3 linked regions of the Drosophila melanogaster genome follow. The protein of the gene in region 1 purifies or fractionates together with the protein of each later gene. This does not show direct contact. Each region holds a gene or a part of one and is shown in the gene's direction. Other genes may lie near its edges.

Region 1 (5,966 bases):
TGATAACAGCTTTAGAATAATCTCTGCAGGATCAGAGGTCACTGCAATTCTTAAGGTAATTGCAATTCTTAAGGTAATTGCTGTAGAGCTTCGTGAAACTACGAGGACCGACGCAGAATCAATGATGTCTATGGCACTTGAGATGTGGAGAAGGGAGGGCAGCACAAAAATGATAAAAAATGTTTGTATTTTATAGTTTTAAACTTTGCATAACCCTTAAACAACTCAAGAGACCTGTTTTATTATGGACTTTTGTCTATGTTTGCTTCCTGGCTAGAACATATTGGCTGGTAGACCAGTAACCAACAAAATACTACTGGTTCGCAGCCAATTTTGTAGTTTTTGTTTTCCTTTTAGTGTGCAACAAGGAAAAAACAAACAGTCTGTCTGAAAATTATGCTTGGGCTGCAGAATGAAAACGAGGAATTGTTTGCACACAAACACCGGAAACAAGGCTCCAATGTGTTAAGAGCTGATAAGCTGATAAGGATACATATATGATGACTTTGGCACGGTAGGCTTTCGTATTTTCTGTATCTTCAAGAGTGAAGTTCCTCAAATCTAAACGAATTTTCTAAATAGTAAGCAATTGTTCAGTTTAAAGCAAGAACTAAAGGTGTTTTTGCTCAAAAATAAAAAGAAGACATTCAATGAAGCTGAAAATATTTTAAAAAACTATTACCACCCGTCGTGGTTTATCTTACAGATATCCATATCAGAGGAAAAGTCTGAAACGCAATCAAAAGAAGTTTTGTCGGAAAAGCGAAAAGCTAGCAGCACAGATGACGAAGGGCATGTGAAAAAAGTAAAATTAGAGGCCAATAGTCTAAAAACGAAGCGTCCTGGATTCAGCGATGAAAGATACGACGAAACATCGTATTATTTTGAGAATGGTATGGCCAACATATTAATAAACCAACTTAGAAGATATTCTGTTATAAAATTGCAATCTATAGGTCTGCGGAAGGTGTATCCTTATTTTTTCACATTCACCACGTTCGCCAAAGGACGTTGGGTTGATGAGAAAATTCTGGATGTATTTGTCCGCGAATTTCGAGCCGCACCGCCGGAGGAATATGAACGCAGCCTGGAAGCGGGAAAATTGACTGTTAACTCTGAGAAAGTGCCCAAGGACTATAAAATCAAGCACAATGATCTGCTGGCCAATGTGGTGCATAGGTAAGCATCAGCAGGAAATCTCATTTGAATATGCACACATTTGCATTCTAGACACGAAGTCCCTGTTACTTCACAGCCCATCAAGATTGTGTACATGGACAAGGATATTGTGGTTGTGAATAAGCCGGCATCGATACCGGTAGGTATACTAATTTGGAAGGAATTTGATTTAATAACAATCGTATGTTGTAGGTACATCCTTGTGGAAGATATAGACACAACACGGTAGTTTTCATCCTGGCCAAGGAGCACAATCTGAAGAACCTGCGAACCATTCACAGATTGGATCGTCTCACATCTGGCCTACTTTTGTTTGGACGGACTGCTGAAAAAGCCCGCGAATTGGAGCTGCAAATCCGAACTCGCCAAGTGCAAAAGGAATACGTTTGCCGCGTTGAAGGACGCTTTCCAGAGTAAGTCCAAAATGCATCTAATCTTTTATATATCTGCTTATTTTTCATATCTTTCGTAGTGGCATAGTTGAATGCAATGAGAAAATCGACGTCGTGAGCTACAAAATAGGTGTTTGTAAGGTTTCACCGAAGGGCAAGGACTGTAAGACCACATTTAAAAGAATCGGCGAGGTGGGCAGTGATAGTATTGTTTTGTGCAAACCACTAACAGGACGAATGCACCAAATACGAGTGCATTTACAATTCTTGGGTAAGTGACAACCAGATAATTCCATTCAATTATAACACTCGTATTTCACAGGCTATCCCATTTCAAATGATCCTTTGTACAACCATGAAGTTTTCGGTCCATTGAAAGGAAGAGGAGGAGATATCGGTGGAATAACCGAGGAACAGTTGATCAGTAACCTAATTAGCATTCATAATGCAGAAAACTGGTTGGGCTTGGAAGGAGATCAAATCGTATCAGGGGAAATAAAAGACGTAGCAGCAAGTACTTCAGTAGTAGAGGCTCCCTCAGTAGTTCAGGCTCCTATTAATAGTGAAACTGAAAAGCCTGTGATTTCAAAAAACCTTGAACCAAGTAACGATGTAAGTAACTTAAAATAGTTGTACAAGTCTGGAGAACACAATGCTTATAGGCTACTGCACAGATTGCCACCCAAACGTGCTATGAGGAACCAGACAGGTCCTTTGATTCCAAGAAGACAACTTCGGATCCGCAATGTTCTGAATGCAAGATAAACTACAGAGACCCCGGCACAAAGGATCTCATAATGTACTTGCATGCATGGAAATACAAGGTCAGTTTCAAACTATACATTTTTAAAGATTTAATTTCAAATTAAATCTTATTTTCAGGGCGTTGGTTGGGAGTACGAAACCGAATTGCCGGAATGGGCGTGTAATTCGAATATTGATTACGATAAAGTATAAAGGAAAAATTGATTGCAAACACGACGCTTTAGTAAAAAGAAATATTTTTACAGAGTTTAACAAATTGTGTTTCCATTTTATCTTCATTTGTAGCATTGTTTTATTACTTTGCCGAATTACTTTATCATTTTGCGGTGCAAGGGGATGTCCTCGTGGAGTATTATTTATCGTCGTGCAGTGGATGTCCTAGGATGCCAACTATCCTGGATAATACTTTGCAAGAACTTCACCTGAACACTCTGCTCACAGTGGTTTCAGTTAACTGCAGTTCTGCGAATTTTTAAAATTTAAAACCACAATCAGTTGGCGGGAAGGGAATGCCCCTAATTCTATCGATTAGTTGGTTCTTATCGATAACGGACGGGGCAGGATATGTGTCATCTCTGTCGGACATCTGGCGCAAATGAAATACAAATACCGAATTAAAGCAGCAAAACAATGATACACGATTTGTTATTGGCTTGCCGGAGCCACAATCCGGAGCAGCTGGGTATAAAGGCATTCAATGTAAGTAAAATCGTTGGAAATAAATAATTTCGAAAGCCTTACAAGCGAACTTTCTAGGAAACCACAGTCATTGACCAGTTCATACATCCTTGCGAGCGGGAGATATTTATGGACATTATAAAAATCATTAAGGTTTACCAAGAAGTTGAGCAGTTTACCCATTCATCGGGAAGAAAGTCCGACACACATGGCGAACTTCCAGGTATAAATGGAAGGTTGCATAGTGTTTTTAAGATTTCAAATGTGTATTTCTATCGCAGATAGTTTGCATGGTTACTACTTGCTCAATTTGGCCAAGGGCATTGAAATGGCTCTGGAGGAGTACTACGCTGAGATCGGACGTCTGGAGAAGTATTGTTTGGGTAACGAGCGCAATTCGCTCTCATATGTCTACAATGCCCTGTACGCCAAGTTCCCCCTTCTGGTCTTCATGCGTAATCTCATCACAGAGATCCATGTGCTGAATCTGCGAGGATGCGTCTTGCTCCACAATCTACATCAGCAGTGCGAGCACGGCGATATTCAACTGGAAAAAGCAATCAAGATGCAAGTGATAGCCAACACACAACGCCTTGTTTCCATAATCCAAATGCTCTTCATTATGCAGAATTATGAAGCCTGTTAAGAACGCATTTTTCTCCAGCCTGGCTCACTGGCTGTTGTTTGGAGTGATTGACGATGTCCACTCGGAATTCTTTATTAAGTTTACCCCAACGGATGCAGTTGATGGTAGCTCATTCAGCAAATCAGCCACTTGCTCACTTCTGGTAACAACTTAACAAGCGATTATCCTTACCCTATATTATAAATAGCATATCTATATCCAGAGCGCAGAGAAAAACCCCGAGGATTACATATGGCAATATGAGGTGAATATGTCTCAGCTGCCAGGATTTTTCTCCATCGTTTTAGCCGAAAAAGTTCTGTTCGTGGGACAAACAGTGCTGGTCTTCAAAATGGGGCGCAACGTAAAAGTTAAAAACAAAACCGACCCACTGGCGGCAAAACTGGCTGAATTGGATTCAGATGATATCTATCAGCTGTGGAGCGGCAGGGAGTCCGAGTTCTTCAAAATGGTCGTTGATTTGAGCAACGAGGACACCATCAATGTGTTTCGCCTCGAGAAGGTTATTATCGATATCAAGAATTACGTTAGCGCCCGGCTGTCGGAGATCGCTGTGAACGAAGTGGATCTGGAGCGGCAAATGGGACTGATTAAGGACTTCTTTTTGCTAGGCAGAGGAGAGTTCTACTTGGAGTTCTGCTCCCAAATGGTCGGTACCATGGAAACTTATCGCGAAGAACGTTTTAAAAACGTCACTAGATCATTTGAGGTACTAATTACGCATAATGTTGTTAAATATGTATTTTAGATTTACATTTTTAACTCATACTCAGCTGGCAGCTACTGTCACGGGAATCACAGATGACTTGGACAAGTTTTCACTGATCTGCCAGAGAAGCACGTCTGAACCAGACGATACCTCCGACTTTAATTTTCTGCAAGGCCTCAGTCTAAAATATGAGTATGAGTGGCCATTGAATCTTTTGTTCTCCCCAACAACGATCGAGCGGTACAACAATATATTCCGATTTTTACTGATCATTCGAACATATCAATACGAAATACAAAGGGTCTGGGCCAAGCAGACTTGGAGGGCGAAGAGTGCAAAGGATGTGCCTCCAAATAACAAAATCATAACTCTTCGCAACTATCTAATGTTCTTTCTGAACAACATGCAGTATTACATTCAAGTTGATGTGCTGGAAAGTGAGTTTTTGAGCGCAATACGAAATTGATCGAAAATAACTCACATTTTGTTACAGGTCAATTTGGAATTTTGATGAATGTGATCAAGAGCAGGAGTGATTTCGAAGTTATACAAAGGGCTCACACTGTATTTCTGGCAAATGTTCTTTCGCATTGCTTCCTGCTTAACGAATCAGAGACCCAATTGAATGTCACCGGGAGCCAAAACCGAAATCCCATTTATGGAACCCTTCTTAAACTCTTTGGCATATGTGAGAAGTTTGCGCATATGACCCAAACGAAAGATCCGTCTGATGACTTAGAGGATGAAGTCGACCAACTTAATGAAAGGTATGTCTTTACATTTTGGATAAGTGGGTTATTATTGTATAATAATAAAACGTTGTTTTCTTATAGTTTTGGTGTTCAAATTGCGAGCCTTATCCAACTATTAGTCGATGTAAAATCAGCTTCTTGTTTGGGTCCGCTTTCGCAGCTGCTTTTGCGTTTGGATTTCAATTGTTGGTTCAGTGCCAGTCATAATACGTCCGCATGAATACGATGTTTTTGCCTAAAGTTGTAGCCGCTTAATGTCTTCTATACGAAAGTCATTTCTGAAAAACAAACAAACGATTAATAAACTGAAGAAAATGTTATATTTTAAATAAACTTTCTTACCTTAACGTTAAAAATGTGCGAACTTCGTTAGGTGTGAGATGCCAAGATGACATCTCTTTGTTATTCTCCGGATTCCAGTACTCCGATAGCTCCGTAATCTTGTCCAGATTGAGGAGCGTAGCTATTTGGGATATACGTGTCATCTTATCTCGAACCGACCACGATGTAGCTCCTGTTAGATAACTTCCCAAGGCACGAACTTCCTGATCAAGCACCAAACCGCCAAGCTTTTGAATAGAACATAATCCATTATTATTCTAATTCCACAAGGTAAATTTGACCTGCTGAGATACATACTCTATTAAAGCTGATTTTCTTAATAGCCCGTTCCAATTGAATAGTCACTTCGGTCGCCAAAATGCTAACGAGTGCATCATAGTTGCGCGGACTCAACGAGTTCTTAAAAGAGTTAAGTAGTCCATCCAATTGCACTATGAAGAACTGGACAAATGTCTCCCCAGCTTCGTAAGCAGCAAGTTCCTCCTGTAAAAACAGATTGCATT
Region 2 (5,007 bases), 7.5 Mb from region 1:
TAATACGGCAGCTCCACCGCAGCCGGATTGCTCCGCTAACATACTTTTCGATCCACTCTCCTCATCGACATCGGGTTCTTCAGCCTTCGCAGCCGCCTTTTTTCGGCCTCGAGCTGCAAATAGAATATGATTAGCGTGGCATTGATATTAAAGTTATTGTTGACAATGTGCCCACCTGGTTTACTTTCCTCTGCTGCCTCCTCAATATCTTCGACATCCTCTGCCTTGACTGGAGCCTTTTTCCGTCCTTTAGCTGCGGATTAAAGATAGTTAATCATGGTTTCATCATTTACATTGATTTGACAGTTTCCCACCTGGCTTGGTTTCAGTAGAGGGCTTGGCTTCTTCTTCAACTACACCGTTTTCCTTATCGGCGGATTTCTTCTGCTTCTTCCCGGGTGCTGGCTCCTTGCCTTCCTTCTTAGCGCGCTGTTTAGTGGGCTTTGCCTTGGTCTTTGGCTCAAGTTCTACCGCAGTCTCACCATTGGTTGTTTTCTTGGCGCGTTTCTTGGGTGCAGCTGCAGTTTTTGGAGGCGATTCCACTTCTTCTTGTACTGATTGAAAATCTCCTACAGTCTCGGGCGATGGCTCAACCATCTTTCCCTTCTTTGCTCGCTTGCTAGCAGCCTTTGGCGGCACCTCATCCACTTCCGGCTCATCGAGAGCAGCTGCGATCTCAGAATCTGCCAAACGCTTGGTTCCGCGTGCCCGCTTGGCAGCTGTCTCAGCTTTCTGCACCTTCTCTTTGCTTATTGTCCCTGGTTCAGCTTGCTCCTTTAACGTTGGTACTGCTTCCTTTCTTGCCCGTTGTTTCGGCGGCTCTGCTGCTTCCTCGGCCCCTCCATTTGCTTCTGCCGGCAGCTCCTTTCGCTTCCGTCCTTTGGCCTGGGCATTCGTTGGTTTCTCAGCCTTAGCGCGTCCCTTAGGCGGTGAAGACGTCACTTCGTCAGGAGCAGGAGTGGGCTCTTTTTTGGCACGTGGCTTAGTTGCCTTTCCAGCTGGTAGATCGACTTTGGGTTCTGGTTCTGCTTCTGCAGTTGCCTTCTTGGCGCGTCCCTTCGGCTTGGCCACCACCTCCATCTGGCCGTTTTCGTCTGTATCCTTCGGCTGCTTCTTCTTGCCACGCGCGGCTGCAGTGGGCGCCTTTTGTGGCTCGACTTCCTCGGAGTTTTCCGCAGATACAGCCGTCTTGGTGGCTTTCCTCGCGCGCGGCTTTCCTTTTGCCGGCACCTTGAGTTCCTCAGCGGCAGAGTCTGCGTTTTCGTCGACTCCATTCCCATTGGCATTTGGAGTGGGGTCAGTGGGTTCAGATGCCAACGCCTCTGCTTGTTTTTTCACGGCCTTGACACGCGGCATTATGGAGTTCTACTGCTCGGACTGATAGGTTCTCAAAAATGACTTGTATTTACTTCCACAGATTTCCAGCTTTTTCTTTTGCTTGTTTTGCAGAGCCACTGTCGCTTGGTTCAGCACCCGATATCAACAAAAAGAAAACTGCGCGGGCAACGCGATTTTTGCAAGCCGGTCGGCTTGACTTTGGTCTGCTTACAACACTATTTGTGTGCCTTCCTTGGAAAAACACGACTGTGGAGCAAATATTGCACATTGTGACGTCACTAGTAGTACAAATAGTTCGACGTCATTAGTAGTACAAAATGGGTGGAGCTCAATAACCTAATTGAAAAACTTTCTTATAGAAAATTATATTCAAGTTAAGCTTAGTATTGAACTATTAGATTGATATTCATGACATGTTTCGATCTTTCTAACTCATAGTCTTAGATTTCCAACACTTTTTTGCCTTTCCAAAATACAAAGTAGAAAAATGTAATGTTTATTTTTATTTATTTAATTCACAATAAAGGTCTTAAGTAATCATATATATTTTATAACAGAGGGCACACTGCGCCACCTTTCAAATGAGGACGCCATTAAACGCTGCGGTGTTATCAACACTGGACTTTCTTAAAATTACAAAGTACGTCCCCGCTGTGGGATTTTTTAAAAATTTTGTTATAATTCGACGATCTTTTAGTTGTGTTTTATTTTATTTCGACTAATTCGACCTTAAACGCGAAACTTCACTTGACGATTCTGGCCGGAAACAACACACCACAATGCCAAGTGAAATAATTACTTTGCAGCTTGGGCAGTGCGGCAATCAAAGTAGGTTTCTGAAATCAGGACGAGTACCATCTGCATTGCTAAAATCGTTTAAACGCAGTTGGCTTTGAGTTCTGGAAAAGATTGTGCCTGGAGCATGGCATCTCCCCTAGCGGCGTGCTGGAGGACTTTGCCAATGATGGCTTGGACCGCAAGGATGTGTTCTTCTACCAGGCGGACGACGACCACTACATACCCCGCGCGGTGCTCTTGGACTTGGAACCGAGGGTGATCAATACCATAATGGGCTCGGTCTACTCCAAGGTGAGTCCTCTCTAAATAACTTTTAATTTTTTGCGCCAAACCTACTATTAACTCCCGTAGCTCTACAATCCGGAAAATGTGTACCTATCCAAGCACGGAGGCGGTGCGGGCAACAACTGGGCCTCAGGCTATAGCCAGGGCGAAAAGCTGCAAGAAGAGGTATTCGACATCATTGACCGTGAGGCAGATGGAAGCGATTCGTTGGAGGGCTTTATACTTTGCCATTCGATTGCTGGCGGAACGGGATCGGGAATGGGCTCCTTTATCATGGAGCGCCTGGCGGACCGCTATCCCAAGAAACTTATCCAAACATTCAGTGTGTTTCCCAATCAGGACGAGATCAGTGATGTAGTGGTGCAGCCATACAACTCCATGCTCACCCTGAAACGTTTGACTACGGCTGCGGACAGTGTGGTTGTCCTGGACAACACTGCTCTTAATCGTATTGCCTGCGATCGCTTGCACATTCAGAATCCCAGCTTTTCGCAGATCAACAACCTGGTCTCCACCATAATGAGCGTCAGCACCACTACGCTGAGGTATCCATCCTACATGAACAACAATCTCATTGGGCTGACGGCTCCTTTAATCCCGACGCCCCAGCTGCATTTTCTCATGACAGGCTACACGCCGCTGACTAGCGATTCGGATATCCATACCCAGCAGCTGGTTAATGTGCGAAAGACTACTGTTCTAGATGTAATGCGGCGTCTGTTGCAGCCCAAGAACATGATGGTGTCCACTGGTCCCGACAAGTCAAATCATCACTGCTACATCTCCATTCTAAACATTATCCAGGGCGAGGTGGATCCCACTCAAGTGCACAAGTCACTGCAGCGCATCCGCGACCGCAAGATGGCCCAGTTCATTCCCTGGGGCCCCACCTCTATCCAGGTAGCCCTTTCCCGCTCATCGCCCTACGTGCAGAGCAACCATCGAGTGTCCGGACTGATGCTGGCCAACCACACCAGCATTTGCTCGCTTTTCGAGCGAGCTCTCAACCAGTATGACAAGCTTCGCAAGCGCGGCGCCTTTCTTGACCAGTTTCGACGCGAGGACATCTTCAAGGACGACCTCAATGAGCTGGACGAATCTCGCGAAACTGTTGACTGCCTGGTGCAAGAGTATGAGGCAGCCACGCGTGAGGACTACATGCAGTTTTCAGTGAAGCGGGGAAATGGGCCAGTTGACTCCAAGTCGGAGGATAGTCGATCTGTGACCAGCGCCGGTTCCTAGTTCGCTTGTGCCAGAAGAAATGCGTGCCATGCATCTTAACCAATGTATTTTAAAATGTAATATTCTCCAATGACGATGGGATTCGAAATCCTTAAGTAGTAGTGATAAGACGATTGTTGGTATGACTCGCATGTATGTAAACGCTGTTTCGTCTTTTACGATATTTAACGTTCGTATTTCCATTGTTGCAAAATTACACATGAGATTTCCCGATCATGTTTAATATGTGACACATTAAATAAAAAACAGTTTTTAAATGTGGTAGTGAGTGTTTATTGAGAAGTATATTACATATTTCTTTGGTGTATTTTATAATATGAAATCCTTATGGTTAATGTCGACTTGAGGCAGTATGAACTGATATTGCAGTGAGAATTCACTTGTGAAGCTGCACGATACTGCTGTCCTTGTTCCGTTGTCATGTCATTTCGTATGTCAAATATGTTTAGGGTGTGTTATTCAGTTTAAAATGTTCCTATTGTATTGAAGAAGAAAAGAGTTAGATATATAAAGCACATTTTATAAATCAAGGAAGTTTTTCGTTACCATGAATCCCGTTACCCATCGGCTTGCTTACAAGGAGCATGTGTCTTCATTAACCACCTCAGCGTTGCAATTCTCTTCCTCCTGATGAGGCTCTTCGCACTCCTCGCCCTCCGCTTCAGGAGTGACCTCTACATCATTGCTCTTCTCGCCCGGCTCCTCTTCAATGAACTCCACATCATCGTGTTGCTCTTCAGCTGCCTCTTCCACCTCATCATGATCTTCAGTCATCTCATTCTCATTTTCATCATCATCATCTCCCTTCACTTCGTCCACAACGGTCAGATCAAGATGAGAAATGAACTCTTCGCCGTCCTCTTCGGTTAGGTCAATTTCAGATAACTCGGCGGTGGACCTAGCCTCTGAGCTGCGAACCGCCTTGAGGGCCTCCTTGCCACTTATCTCGCGGCAATTGAGCTGGTTAAAACGGTAGCTAAGGCAAAAGCCCTTCTTCTGCACCAGGTTGTAAGACTTACTGCCACAGCTTATTACTACCACCTTGCCATCCTTGGTCTGGCTTATACGGCCAAATTCCCAAGTCTTCGACAGAAGGTCGCTATTCTGGTCTTTTAAAAGTTGAAACGTGACCTTATCGGGCTCATCAGCTGAACGTGGTACTCTGACTGTGATTCCCTTTGTGGCCGGAATATCATCCTCCGGACAACAAATTAGTTTAGTTTCCGGTAACGCCGTGATCTTGGAAATCGCATGCTCCAGCCATTGGCGGGAGTTCTTGTCCATGCAGACAACTTGGATCATTCCAGTAAGAAATTGAATGCCCCCAAAATTGATGCTGGACTT
Region 3 (4,785 bases), 8.7 Mb from region 1:
AAGGTGGCCGCATCATAAGCCAGAGCTCCCCACTTTCGCAAAGGCACCAGCTGTGTGATATCGGGACTTCGATTGTGGGCTGCACACACGATATGGCAGTTCGGTTCGTGCTGCAGTCCCACGTCCAAGAGGTGGACAAAAAAGGCGGACGACACCAGCAAGTGATGCTGGCCGTGTAGCGCAAATGTTGGCCTCAGCAGACGGGCCTTTTGCCACGGCACACCGGGCATGACGCAGTGCACCACATAGCCGTGGTGAAGCAAAGTCACCGAGTAGGCAAAGTGCACATCCCTTTGCTCCGACTGCATCGGCTGGTACAGGTAGTAGTGACAGACGAAAAACATGCCCGAGGTGTCCGCCAGTATGATGAGATTTAGCGAACTATCGTGCACGCGCAAGGGAACCGCATCGTCATCGTAGCTTGGCGATTCCTCTTTGGAGCCATTGGGCAGCTTTGGCAAATTGAGGGGTATATTAAGCTGCAATAGAAAGATGTAACTACACCTATACGTAATACTTTAATCTTTAAGTACCTACCACTGTTTCCGTTGGCTGTTTTTCGTTAAACTGAAAGGCGGAGAGCGTGGGGCTTAAAGTAGGAGTTGTCTGCTCGCCAGCCTCCTCCCTCTCGTCCAGCAGACTGAGGCTCTTGGCCTTCGGCTTCAAGTGAATGTAATAAAGAGCCTGGCACTCGGGATCCCACTGGGCCCAGCTAAAGTTCCTGGCCAGCGTTTCGTAGGTCAGTATGCTGGTGTCTAGCCTCCAGGCGCTGCCCTCGCCTCCGCCAGTCGAGCATGTGGTGGAGCTCTGCTTGACCACGCAGCTGTACTGCTTGATGGCTAGAAAAAACAGGTACGAGCATGGGAGTTAGAGGTGGATAATGACATATACATGACACCTACATTCCTCGTGGGTGAGCACCAGTAGCTTGTCCTGCCAGCAGGTGCGCGTGGCACTCTCGACGCGCCACAGGAACTGCGTCATCATCTGGCGGTTGGAGGGCTCCGAGTTGAGGGGCGTGGCCGTGCCACCTTCGGAGCTCCTTACCTCCACGACAAAGGCCTGATAGAGCTTGCCCTCAGTTTTCTCCACGAAGGACAGCAATGTGACACTGCTGTTAATCGTTGCCTGGACGATCTCACGGCAATTGTCGAGGGTCCAAAGGAGTCGCAGCTGCTTCTTGGTGGCGTGAAAGTGGCCAATGCACGTCTCCTTGCGCTGATCCTCGTCCGCGTACTCGAATATCCAGGACGTGAGCAGAGATCCATCCTGTTCCTGGCCCAAAATGCGCCACTCGTTTGCCTTCTCTGCGATTTTTACGGACATCCATGAGGCTCGGAGTAAATTGGCGAAATACGAACTCACCTTTATAGCCCTGGCTGGCCAGGAGACCGCAGAAGTTGGCTGCCAAGTTCTCCTGCCGCAGCATTTTTATTTTTTATTCAATATTTGTACATAAACATTTGCAACGAATTTTTTCAATCAGCCTGCCAGTGTGCACGTTGCGCGCTTCTCAGAAAATAACGACTCCCGAGAACCGTTACTCGCAGCCACAGGGTGTGCTGTACAATTGAAAAAGCTAGTCCTTTAAATTTAAAAAAATAACAGTTAATGTTTTATGTAAATGAAAACATAAAAAATATATAACTATGGCTAATTTATTTGAACCTAAATATTTAAAAAAAAAATGGATCAAATCTTAATTCTAAGTATTTTCTATAAGTCCAATAACATTAAATAAATCATAAAGATTAGTAAAGAAAAATAGGTAATAACTTACTGTTGTATTGTACTTCTTGTATATCGATATTAATGACTTCCACTTCCATCTCCAGTTGGCCTTCGATGCACAGTTATTATTTACTGAGAAAGAAGCGAAATTAACTAAACTGCAATTCGAGCAAAATGCCCAGCGAGATTATAACCCTTCAATTGGGCCAATGTGGCAATCAAAGTAAGTTCTTCACGTCGAAATCGAAGTTAAGAGAAGCTCCGGCTTGATCGAGATCACTCCATTCCGCAGTTGGTTTCGAGTTCTGGAAGAGATTGTGCCTGGAGCACGGCATCTCCCCGGATGGCGTCCTGGAAGACTTCGCCACCGATGGACAGGATCGCAAGGATGTGTTCTTTTACCAGGCGGACGACAACCATTACATACCGCGGGCCGTTCTCATAGACTTAGAGCCCAGAGTCATTAACAACATCATGACCTCTCCGTACTCCAAGGTCAGTGCGGAAACTGGTCTTATTGGATCGGATTCTGATCTAATCTACTTTATTTTATGTATTTCATTTAAAAAACTATGTAGATGGATATGTGTTTCCCCTTTGCAGTTGTACAACCAGGAGAATGTGTTCCTCTCCAAGCACGGCGGTGGAGCAGGAAACAACTGGGCGTCCGGCTTTAGCCAGGGTGAGAAGGTGCAGGAGGAGGTGTTCGACATTCTGGACCGCGAGGCCGATGGCAGCGATTCGCTGGAGGGATTCGTGCTCTGCCACTCGATAGCCGGCGGAACTGGGTCCGGAATGGGCTCATATGTCCTGGAACGGCTGTCCGAACGCTTTCCCAAGAAGCTCATACAGACGTACAGCGTTTTTCCCAATCAGGACGAGATCAGCGACGTGGTTGTGCAGCCATATAACTCGATCCTTACCCTGAAGCGTTTGACCAAGTGCGCGGACAGTGTGGTGGTGCTGGATAATACCGCACTGAACCGCATCGCCACCGAAAGATTGCACATCCAAACGCCCACTTTTACGCAGATCAACAATCTGGTGTCCACCATCATGAGTCTGAGCACCACCACCCTGCGATATCCCTCGTACATGAACAACAACCTCATCGGTCTGACCGCCTCGCTCATTCCCACGCCCCAGCTGCACTTCCTGATGACGGGATATACTCCGCTAATGTCCGACTGCGAGGTATGATGATATGACATATGTAAATGGGAATGCAAATAAAAAGAGGCAACCACTTTCAGACCAAGACAAGCGTTCGAAAGACCACCGTTTTGGATGTAATGCGTCGCCTTCTGCAGCCGAAGAACATGATGGTTTCCGCGCTGACGGACAAGCAGAGCCGCCAGTGCTTCGTCTCCATACTGAACATCATCCAGGGCGAGGTGGATCCATCCCAGGTGCACAAGTCGCTGCAGCGCATCCGCGAGCGAAAGCTGGCCAACTTCATACCATGGGGTCCGGCCAGCATCCAAGTGGCTCTGCCGCGCAGCTCGCCCTATGTGCAGTCGGCCCACAAGGTATCCGGATTGATGATGGCCAATCACACGGGTATCAGTTCGCTCTTCAAGAGGGCCTTGGCCCAGTACGATAAGCTGAGGAAGCGCAACGCCTTCCTCGACAACTTTCGCCGCGAATCCATGTTCCAGGACGACCTGACCGAACTGGACATCGCACGGGACACGGTTGACTGCTTGGTGCAGGAATATGAGGCAGCCACCCAGATCGATTATCCCCAGTGGAGTCCTGCTGTCGAAGCTTCGAAAGCCGGTTAATCGATAATTATTTATAATTCAACCGTCAATACTTTTTATTTTTTTTATCAACAATAATATATGTATTTAAAATACTTTATAATCAATTTAGGAATTATAAAAGTTTCCAGGAATGATTCAACTTACATAAATCAAGCAAAAATAACTCTGAACGAGGTAGGAAGTAGTAACGATCACACCTCAACACACAAAAGTTCTGATATCAACTTTTGTGTGAAAAAAAGGGTTTTTTATTCAACTAAGGATATACAATAACTAAAATTTACTTATTCGTTAGTTAGTTTAAAGTTGGTCAACACAATCACTAATTCCACATCCACATGTATCTTGATATGTGTACATTTTTATAGTCATATTGGCTTTGATTTTTCATGTCACTTCACATTTCCCCGTAACAGACTGAGCGAAATGAATTTTCCATTCGTATTCCAAAATTCGATGTGTTAACACCTTTGAAAATAGTTTGTGTCTTACGTTTTCCGGTACCTATTTTGTTGTTTCTAAGATCCTATTTCTGTAAATAGGCCAAATGTAAGTGTTTAGTTCACATTGCATAGAGAACAATCTAATTTGGTTTAAAGTCCACTTAGCTGCCCTTTTAGAAGGAAATTAGGATACCCTGAACGCTTTTCCCCAAGACAAAATAAAATCGTAAGTGAAAACAATTTATATGATTAATTCTTAGCTTTCCTTTCACTTGGAAGATCATGTGCTGCGGACCCTGTGGACCTCGCTGCTGCGATCCGTGCGGCGGATGCTACAACTGCTGCGTGGAACTCTGCTGTGTACCCTGCACCCCAGCCTACATCCAGTGCTCATTTATGCCCTGCGGACCAAGAGGCTGTTGCTGAAGTGGGGATGTGCCAGGTGCCGAAACACGTTCAACCATATTGTACCTGAAACACTCGTAGATACCCAACATGTCCCAATAAACGAATTTTATAAATGTTAATAGATTGTGTCAAAGATGAATTCTATATTTCGACGCCGTGCTTTAGCGTACTCAAGGTGAAACCTGCTTGATTTGGAGACGAGTCCGATCTCGAAATTTATATTTTCGTGGGGAAAAAATGGAGATTCAAATGCGAGCAAAGTCGTTTGCAATTTGAGAATGGTTTGATCTTATGATCTGCCGACAACTTCGTGTCGCCTTCGCACATCCTCCCAGTGCGCTTCGTCACTACGTTGGCTGCCGTCAACAGACACTATACAAATTCGGTGTTTTAAATTAAGCCAGTGGTTTCCTTGACTGTCATAACTTCTAGAGATA

What was found.
Region 2: the proteins of Grip75 (region 1) and gammaTub23C purify together in Drosophila melanogaster (affinity purification with western blotting; 2 studies listed by BioGRID, with this or other methods). This does not show direct contact.
Region 3: the proteins of Grip75 (region 1) and gammaTub37C purify together in Drosophila melanogaster (affinity purification with western blotting; 4 studies listed by BioGRID, with this or other methods). This does not show direct contact.

The regions. Positions count from the first base shown.
Region 1 is NT_033779.5:10,480,392-10,486,357, forward strand, and holds Grip75 (Grip75), read left to right. Parts: upstream 1-2,903; 5' UTR 2,904-2,966; coding exon 2,967-3,035; intron 3,036-3,092; coding exon 3,093-3,237; intron 3,238-3,295; coding exon 3,296-3,581; intron 3,582-3,642; coding exon 3,643-3,802; intron 3,803-3,862; coding exon 3,863-4,369; intron 4,370-4,433; coding exon 4,434-4,806; intron 4,807-4,862; coding exon 4,863-5,136; intron 5,137-5,146; exon of another isoform or gene 5,147-5,202; coding exon 5,203-5,341; 3' UTR 5,342-5,356; coding exon of another isoform or gene 5,357-5,399; 3' UTR 5,400-5,463; downstream 5,464-5,966. Other genes in the region: RluA-2 (RluA pseudouridine synthase 2), read left to right, coding at 707-893, 957-1,179, 1,231-1,318, 1,372-1,592, 1,652-1,842, 1,894-2,183, 2,234-2,395, 2,454-2,528; Cog4 (component of oligomeric golgi complex 4), read right to left, coding at 5,357-5,399, 5,464-5,690, 5,761-5,946. UniProt on the Drosophila melanogaster protein: Gamma-tubulin complex is necessary for microtubule nucleation at the centrosome.
Region 2 is NT_033779.5:2,970,942-2,975,948, forward strand, and holds gammaTub23C (gamma-Tubulin at 23C), read left to right. Parts: upstream 1-1,949; 5' UTR 1,950-2,117; coding exon 2,118-2,166; intron 2,167-2,224; coding exon 2,225-2,427; intron 2,428-2,487; coding exon 2,488-3,663; 3' UTR 3,664-3,917; downstream 3,918-5,007. Other genes in the region: Rrp1 (recombination repair protein 1), read right to left, coding at 1-113, 176-253, 315-1,356; CG9641 (uncharacterized protein), read right to left, coding at 4,237-5,007. UniProt on the Drosophila melanogaster protein: Tubulin is the major constituent of microtubules. The gamma chain is found at microtubule organizing centers (MTOC) such as the spindle poles or the centrosome, suggesting that it is involved in the minus-end nucleation of microtubule assembly.
Region 3 is NT_033779.5:19,182,773-19,187,557, reverse strand, and holds gammaTub37C (gamma-Tubulin at 37C), read left to right. Parts: upstream 1-1,831; 5' UTR 1,832-1,905; coding exon 1,906-1,954; intron 1,955-2,023; coding exon 2,024-2,226; intron 2,227-2,334; coding exon 2,335-2,925; intron 2,926-2,984; coding exon 2,985-3,515; 3' UTR 3,516-3,695; downstream 3,696-4,785. Other genes in the region: pigeon, read right to left, coding at 1-479, 538-839, 903-1,307, 1,366-1,429; CG46059 (uncharacterized protein), read left to right, coding at 4,223-4,366. UniProt on the Drosophila melanogaster protein: Tubulin is the major constituent of microtubules. The gamma chain is found at microtubule organizing centers (MTOC) such as the spindle poles or the centrosome, suggesting that it is involved in the minus-end nucleation of microtubule assembly.